2 linked regions of the Coturnix japonica genome follow. The protein of the gene in region 2 purifies or fractionates together with the protein of the main gene of each other region. This does not show direct contact. Links are inferred from orthologs where the notes say so. Each region holds a gene or a part of one and is shown on either strand. Other genes may lie near its edges. The genes, in order: MIF4GD and histone RNA hairpin-binding protein.

Region 1 (4,312 bases), on a different chromosome or scaffold from region 2:
GCCAACTCTGCCTCTTCAAGGCTGATGACCTGCTCAAATGTAGCAATAACCTGGGAGCATCCTCGCTCTGAGAGCTGGCTCCCACTGCTGAGCCATGGCCCTGGGGTGTCATAACACACATTCAGCGCTTCTACCCTGACCCTGGGCCCTTCTGGTACCTTAGCAGCAGCACCAGACGCTCCTGCTCTGGTTCCTTACCTTCAGGTAGTCAAAGATGTTGCAGATGAACGTGACGTAGCATATCCATGCCTGCAGTGACCGGTTGCGCAGATCCTCCCTGTCCTTGTACTCCTGCTGCAGCCGGTTCAGCAGGCTCCTCCGGAAGATGCTCTGTCCGACCTGTTTGCTCTCTGCCTAAGAGCCCACAAAAGCAGGATGGAAGGATGAAACTGGGGCAGAGAGGGGCAGGGGGGACTGGGATCTGGATGTTGCAGGACCATACTGATACCCTCCTGTGATGCCCAGAGACATAGAAAGGCTGCAGATATCTGCACCCACCAGCTGCACATCTGTGTCCTGCCAGTGCAGGGGCCAGTGGAAGAGTCGGAGTGCAGGGCTAGAAGAAGTCCCGGCCTAGCACAGCTTAGCAGCGTTTTCCTGGCAGACACAAATCTCTCTCACCTGGATGATGGTGTAGCAGATGCGCCCTGCTTCCTTGCTGAACACACAGTCTTTGAGGGACTGGTCAACTATAACATTGGCCACTTTGTCCAGGTCCACATTGCTGGGGTCTGTAGAGAGAAGAAACACTGTCAGGATCTAATATTTTTTGTGTCCTGCTTGTGCTAGGAAGCAGCCAAGGTTGGTATGGAACACAGTAAAACCATGTCATATGGTACCAAAACTCATGCTCACTCCCACACGGCCCCTTTTGCACGCCAGCTGCTTCGGAGATACCATCTCCAAGAACCACACAGACCTTCCAGGCTGGACTTACAGCCACGCAGATGGAAAAGTGATGGAGAAAAACATGGCAATGAAGGGAGGCAAGATTGATCTGAATCTGAAGTCCCAGCACTGCTTTGAAGTCGGGCTGGCAGCAGACAGACAAGCAAATTTCCATTGGGCTTTGAACTGAGACACCTGTAAGCAGGAGACACCGGGGGATGGGGTGCAGAAACAGCACAGGGAGAAGAGTGAGGGGCGAGATCTGAAGAGAGATCAGCTGGATGAGAACAGGAGAAGAAGGCATCCCAATCAGAGAAAAGCACTATGATGAGCATGGTCCTGAGAACCCGGATTGGAACAGCTACACCTTTCAGCAGCGAGGTGGAGGTGGGGGAGAAGAGGCGGGGAACAAAGAACTTCCTGAAGGGATTCAGTCTTGTAGAAACAGCATTTATGAAACAGCTTTTCTACACTTAGCAATTGGTGACAGCAGGAGGGGACAGGTATTCAGCCACATCAGTGAGCCAAGCTGAGTGCGGCAGAAAGGCCAGAAAAAGCCTGCTGACCTTTGAGTGCTGTTTTCAGCAGCTTCTGAGTCTCAGTGTCAAATGACTGTATTTTATACTCTTCTTTGCCTGTTTCCCCCATGACTGGCTTCCTCCAACAGCAAGAACCAGGGGAACAGATGTGCTAGCAGCAGCCCCTGTGAAAAGAGCAGACAGGGCTTAGTTGGCCAGAGAGCCCAGACCTCCACCAGCCACGTGGCAAATCCCATCCAGTCCGGGAGCCCAGACTTCAACCTTGACACCCTCCAGGTAGTAAGAAATATCCTGTTAATGCAGCATCCAGCTCGAGCCCTACATTTGGGCAAAGACCAATTCCCACATTTTTTTAAGCCTTGCTTCCTACTAGTTTACGACAAGGAACTTTTGGGCATCTTCAGAGCACTTTCGTTCTTCTGATGTGAAAATCAGTCTATTGATGTGCAGGTTTAAGCAGGACAGCACGCCAGAGCAAGCCCAAAAAGTAACTGTCTCCCTCAAAAGTCTTCCCTGTGGCTGCACCATGGGGAGGTACGAATGCAGGACACTCCATGCAGACACTCCCTTGTGCCTTTGAAACAGCAATTGAGATGATTTCACACAAACCTGGGGAGATTCAGAACCAACACCTAAACAATCCAATCCTCTCCTGCACCAGAGGATTCGACCCCCAAAACGCAGCAGAACACCGGAAAATGTTCAGCCAGATTCCACCAGGCTCCCATCTCCTCTTTTGCAGCGCTCTGCAGTACAGTGCTGCTGAATAATCTCTAGATTATTATGTTTTTGCTGGTTTGTGACACAGCAAAGATGGCAAGAGGGTGCACACAGCAGGGAGGAAGGGCTCTGACAGGCTTCCTCTGACACAGGACAATCTGCTGCAGAACGCGGGGCTGCTGGACCTGCAGCAAAACAGGGAGACGGCAATTGAACAAACTAGTTCTTCCAGCTCTCTGAAATTCCTCATCCGTTACTCACTGCTCTGTGCACACAGGTCAGCACTGCGATCTGCCGCTCGCTCTGCCCGCCTGGTGGCACCGTGTCTCCCAGTATCGGACCGAACCCACGCTGCGATGTCACCCAGCGCAGCCCCGATGTGCCAGGCCGGCACGTGCCGGGTGGGAACGACAGAGGAGCAGCGAACCTCCTCTCCTACCACCGAGCGTCCACCCGCGGCCGCCTGCGGGCACCGGGAGGGCACCAGGCACCACCCGGTCCCCTCGTCCCGCCGCCTCCCGGTCTCCGGACTCCCAACCCTGGCTCAGGCCCAGCGGCCCCGAGGGAAGATCGGGGCTGGGCGGTCGCAGGGAGCGGGGGGGGTTGTGGGACGGGGCACCGACCTGCCGGGCCGGCCCCGCTCCTCCAGCCGACACCGCGCCGGGCGGAGCGCGCAGCGCAGCGCCATGACCGAACCGACAGCGGCAGCGGCTTCCTCTGAGGTCATTTCCTCGACCGAGGCGGGGAAGGGCGGGGAGGGCGGCGCGGGGCCGGGCCGAGAGCGGCTGCAGCGCCGCCTGCGGCAGCACCACGGCGGGACGGGACGGGACCGGCACCGGCACCGCTCCGAGCCGGGACCACGAACATCCCAAACCGCCGCGGGGCGACGGCTGCGCTGAGCTCCGCCACGAGAGTCGGCGGGACGAGGCTGAGGGGCGCCATTATTCCCCGATCTCGTCAGGCTGAGCTACAGCGGAGCGGATCCAAGTCCCGGCTATAACGGAGCGGATCCAAGTCCCGGCTATAACGGAGCGGATCCAAGTCCCGGCTGTAGCGCTGCTTCCTGCCGGGTGTAGAAAGTAGCAGGGAAGTTCATGGAACAGGAGCTTCAAACACCTCGTGCTCCTCAGGAGCTCGCACTGAACGCAGCGTAACTCGCACTTCACGTTTTTTCTCCCGCTTGGAGCTGCTGCAGCTTTTACGAGGAGCAGCACGGGCAGAACGCTGCAAATACGAGCCGCAGGAAACGCAGCACGAGCAGCTCGTCACGTTGTCTGCAGCATCGCGGGGCTGAACACGAGGCCTGGGATCCTTCCCGTGGGTTTGTGGCTCAGGACGAGCCGTGACCGTCCCGTGCAGCTCCCAGGGATACACAGCGCAGCGCGTGGTGCGGCTCGAGCTGCTGATGGCTCCAGGAAGCAGCTCCAGTCCCGCAGGATCCACTGTGCGCACACAGGAGTGAAGGAGGAACGAGAAGCTGCAGCGACACGATCACAACAACGTATTTAATGCTCCGTCTTTATCAAGGCGGCCACGCGCTTTCAAGCACTTTGCACTCAGATGCTCAGATTACAGCAGCTGCAAAAGACCCACCCAGACAACAGATGGAATCACTGTTCTGCATCACAGTAACAGCTTAAATGCAAATTAAAAAGTCAACTTCAGAGCTAACTGTCAAACATCCATTTTAAAGATGCAGCTCTGGATGAGCATCTATCTATATATCTATAATGCCATCTAGGAACTCAAACACACAATCAGTGCTATTGGAAACAGCGCATTCATCACAGAATTTGTGTGTGCGGGTTCTCCCGTCTCAGGCAGGTTTGGTGGACCCCCATTACCACGGCGTGATTTGTGCAATCACAGAATCGGACCGTAATGATCACCTACTTTCACCACCCTGCCATGGAGCGGAGCTGCCTGCGCAAGAGAGAAAAGAACAGGCTGTGAACTGCAGGCCGTAAGAAAGAAAATAAAGTGCAAATGCAGCATCAAGCAGCAGCATCGTGCTGGTGAGGCAGCACTAGAACCCAACTGTGATCCAGGGCAAGCACAGGCATTCACTCAGTTTACCAACTGTCTTGTCAGAGCCTCTGCCAGGTAGTTGTATGCTTGGCTCCCCAAATCACTAAACACATACTGACATCGGGAGAGAGAGAACA
Region 2 (4,330 bases):
ATCATACAGATGAAAAAATTATGACAGTGCTGTAGACTGCTTGAAAGGCACATTATAACCATTCAACCCAGGAAATCTATTCCATAAGAACTACTTGAAAGGCACATTATAACCATTCAACCCAGGAAATCTATTCCATAAGAACTACTGCCCAATTGTAGCACTCTGCTGAAAGGCTGGTATCCACATATGAACACTTAGTTTTTCTTTCTTTGGGTCAAGTGGGGAAAAAAGAGATAATCTTAGATCTAAAAACTTAAGCGTGCAGTTTCCTATATTCCAAATATATGTTCCAGACTTCAGAACGACCACACTCTATTTTGCCTTTTACTTTACCAACAAGAAAACTGACTGCAAAAAAAAAAAGCACTTTCGGTTCTTCAAGTCGATCAGCACAACCAAAAGAACTTTCATTTCTGCAGCATGAAAAAGCTTGAAGGGGAACTGCTCATGCACAGAGTAGCTGTGAAACGTAGAAATCCAAGACCCATTTCAGAGCTTGTTTCATTTAACTGATTTAATTTGTAAATGCCTTTTATTTCAGTGTGTTTAGTGTGTTCGTGTGCTTAGAAAGAACAAGTTGGGACCTACATTTGAACATTTAGTTTTCCAGAAGCTCAAGCATCTTACCTAGGAACTTCTTTGATGTATCTGTCATAGGCAATTGTGTTTTTCCCATAGTTTATCTGTTTTTGTCTTCTCATCAAAACCACCTCATCCGTCTCAAGTTCTACTGTTACAGTGGATTCCTTTGAATCGGAACTGTAAGGACAGAATGTTATAAATTCGGGAGCAATAGAAAATGAGCGATACCCAAAAAGCAAACTCAGATATATAAGAGTCAAAAGAAACACGTGAAGTGTTTTCAAATGGATGCTTGAGATGTGAATGAATTTAAATGTGGGGGAGAGCTAAAATGTACTACTTCAACTTGGGGCTTCTCAAAAGCAACACCATGTTTGAAAAGTCAAATCCAATCCATTGCAAGGATTTTCTTCAGCTAAGCTAGAAACTTACCTTCCTGAAGAGGACTTCCTTTCTCTTGAAAACTCATTTACCAGGAGTTTTCTTCTGTATCTGCAAGAGTTCAAGTCGATATTAAGAACATACACAGAGAGAACAGATTTGGCTGCACTGTGACAGCTCAGTGAGTTTTAACTCAAGGCAACAGACTTAAAGAAATCCACCTATACACTGTAAATACTTTCCACTGTGAAGCAGACGCTTCACTTTTCCCCTAAGAACTAAAGAACACAACACATCCAAGGACTTCCTCTTCCTGAATCTACTATAAAAAGATCTTTAAACAGAGAAGATACTGAAAAACAGTAAATAATAAGAAGGGACATTGAAATGAATGTGGATATGTTTCTTCCAAAAGGGAGAGATTTAGAGACATACGTGCCCCCAGTGTGCTACGTTACTCCTGCAGGAGTTAAGCTGGTCTGAAAAGCAGAACTCCAAGGCTAAGACTGAACTCCAGTCTTTATCATAGACTAAGACTGAGTCACAATCTGAGTCTGACTGGATAGCGAAGCCACTTCCCCTCCATTCCCCACTTCATCTCAAGCCCCCACGGGTACCTTGCAATTTCTTTGTTAACGTTGGTTCTCATCTCATCTTCTTCCACTGCAGTTGCCCAGTCTAAACACCGGGAAAGGGGACCAGGGCCTTCTGGTGTTGTAAAACTGAAAGGAATAAAACAATAAGTTTAGGGGAAATGGTTTTAAGTTGAAAAAGGGAAGATTTAGGTTGGATGTTGGGGAAGTTTCTTCACTAGGAGAGTGGTAGGCCTGGAACAGGCTGCCCAGGGAGGTTGTGGATGCCCATCCTTGGAGTGTTCAAGACCAGGTTGGACGGGCCCTGGGCAGCCTGATCTAGTAAAGAGGTGTATGTTTGGTGGCCTGCCAGGCAGGGGGGTTGGAACTACATGATGCCTTGAGGTCCCTTCCACCTGGCCTCATTCTGTGATTCTGTGAAGTTCTTCTATTGTATTTTACCCTTTCCCCACTATCTGCAACTTGCCAGTTTGATGCTTTCAGGTACAGAACTCACAATGGTTAAGATCTTGTGTGATTCTATGGAAGTGTCAGCATTAATAATAATTGGAGTAATAACTTCAATATAGCCTGTTCAAAAGATTCAAAACTGGGAAGGGATATTCAAGGTCAGGTTGGATGTGGCTCTGGGCAGCCTGGTCTGCTGGTTGGTAACCCTGCACACAGCAGGGGGTTGGAACTGGATGATTATTGTGATCCTTTTCAACCCAGGCCGTTCTATGATTCTTATATCTCCTCCTAATCATCAGAGCTGCTGCCTCCATCAACTGAGGCCTTGACGGGAGGGAATCCCATCCAACCGCTGTTACCTGGGAGCAGAGCCACCTCTCACAGCCTCCTCTCACGGAGCTCCAACCCGAACCTCCCCAGGCACAACTGGGTCCCTCCAACCGCCGCCTCTTTCTCTCACCTGTCGGCCCTGCTGTCCGAGGGTCCTTGCTCCGTCTCTCCGAACACCGCCTCGCCTCCATCGCTTTGTTTCTTCCTCTTCCCGTCCGCTCCTCGTTTCCTTCCCTGTGACCATCGAGGTGGCGGCTGTGGGCTGCCACAAGAGAAGCGTTTCCTCAGCGACCCGCCCGCCCCACAGAGCGCAACATGGCGGCCCCTCACTGAGGGCAACACGGCCCCACAGGGATCGGGGGCAGCGCTCCGAGCCCTCCGCCCGCCCTACCTGCTCCTGGCCGTGTCGTGGGGGTTCCTGTGGCGGAAGGACATTGTGTGGGGTCCTCAGGGTGGAGAGACGGATGGAAGGACGGACAGACGGATGGAAGGTCGGACGGACAGAGGATGCCGTGCGGAACTGCCGCCTCACCGCCCGGCTCTTCGCATCTCCCGCCAGCCCGGCCGGCCCCGCCCCCGACAGGCCGCACCACAGCGCCAGGTGCGGGGGGGGAGAGAAACAGGAGAGGGGAGAGCGGACACTGAGGAGACTCTTCAGCCCAGTCGTTCCTTTAGCACGGAGTAACGGCCGGTCAATCCGCCTCGGGACGCGCTCGGAACCGTGACACGTGAGACAACGGGACGCGAATTCCTCCCTTTATCCCCCCCCCCCCCCGGCCCAGTGCGATGGTTCGGCCCGGCCCGGCCCCGCTGTGGCGGGAGATCGGAGCGCGGCTCAGCGTTTTGGCGCGCTCCATCTGCCCGCAGCCACCAACGGCAGCGCCAGAGCTGAGGGACCCACCGACCCCAAAACAGCATGAAGTAAATAGAAAGACAACCAGACCCACGTAGTGCTTAACTATGGGGACAGGCTGAGGGAGCTGGGTTTGTTCAAGCCTGGAAAGAGAAGGTTGCGGGGTGACCTCATTGCAAGCCTTTCAATACCTGAAGGGAACTTACTCCAGGAGGGGAGTAAACTCTTGGAAAGGGCTGAAAATAGCAGACACGGGGAAATGGTTTTAAGTTAAAAGAGGGAAGATTTAGGTTGGATGTTTAGGGGGAAGTTCTTCACTAGGAGAGTGGTTTAGGCCCTGGAACAGGCTGCCCAGGGAGGTTGTGGATGCCCGTCCTTGGAGGTGTTCAAGGCCAGGTTGGACGGGCCCTGGGCAACCTGATCTAGTAAAGGTGTATGTTTGGTGGCCCTGCCAGGCAGGGGGGTTGGAACTACATGATCCTTGAGGTCCCTTCCAACCCGGGTCATTCTGTGATTCTTTTATAACAAAGCATTAACAAGCAGACCAAGAAGCATTTTGAAAGGTTAAAGACTTTAATTCCTCTGCACAAAGACAATATACCAAAACCAAAAACCACTCTCGTATTTATAATCATCATAAAACACACGGAAGCATGCAGACTGGATCAGCAGTGCTCTTAAATAGTGCTTCAGAAGGTGCTGTATAGATTTGTTCCCTGTATACACATGCCATGCTGTGGTATGTGACTGAGCTACTTTGCACTGGGACTCCACTGAACCTTATACATAAGCATATATAGATGAGTCCCAGCTGCTGCAGGAAATAGAACAAGCCTCACCAACCTGCAGGCAGCCTCCATTCAGCCCTCAATGGTGGGAGCTTGACCTATTTGACTTGTAAGTACCACAGGCCTCACCCTCTTCCTATGTCTGGGCAAGCACACAGCCAGGAGGACATTCTTAGTACTGAGCAGCAGCTGCCACCAATCCTAATACACTCCTATTAAAGCAGCAGCACATGTTCCCCTACATATTGAGTCTTTTCTTCATTGGGAACTAGCAAACTTGCTATACATAACCACTGTAGTAAACTTCTATACGCTTGACAGGCTTTGGTGAAGGCAAGGTAATGCTCCAG

What was found.
Region 1: the proteins of histone RNA hairpin-binding protein (region 2) and MIF4GD purify together in Homo sapiens (affinity purification with western blotting; 3 studies listed by BioGRID and IntAct, with this or other methods). This does not show direct contact. The link is inferred for Coturnix japonica from reciprocal best matches to the Homo sapiens genes SLBP and MIF4GD.

Annotation. Positions count from the first base shown.
Region 1 is NC_029533.1:9,386,709-9,391,020, forward strand, and holds the start of MIF4GD (MIF4G domain-containing protein), read right to left. Parts: upstream 2,873-4,312; 5' UTR 2,771-2,872; intron 2,521-2,770; exon of another isoform or gene 2,409-2,520; intron 1,592-2,408; 5' UTR 1,537-1,591; coding exon 1,455-1,536; intron 732-1,454; coding exon 622-731; intron 355-621; coding exon 199-354; intron 1-198. UniProt on the Homo sapiens protein: Functions in replication-dependent translation of histone mRNAs which differ from other eukaryotic mRNAs in that they do not end with a poly-A tail but a stem-loop. May participate in circularizing those mRNAs specifically enhancing their translation.
Region 2 is NC_029519.1:76,093,759-76,098,088, reverse strand, and holds the start of histone RNA hairpin-binding protein, read right to left. Parts: upstream 3,074-4,330; 5' UTR 2,775-3,073; coding exon 2,731-2,774; intron 2,602-2,730; coding exon 2,470-2,601; intron 1,689-2,469; coding exon 1,584-1,688; intron 1,078-1,583; coding exon 1,018-1,077; intron 763-1,017; coding exon 631-762; intron 1-630. UniProt on the Homo sapiens protein: RNA-binding protein involved in the histone pre-mRNA processing.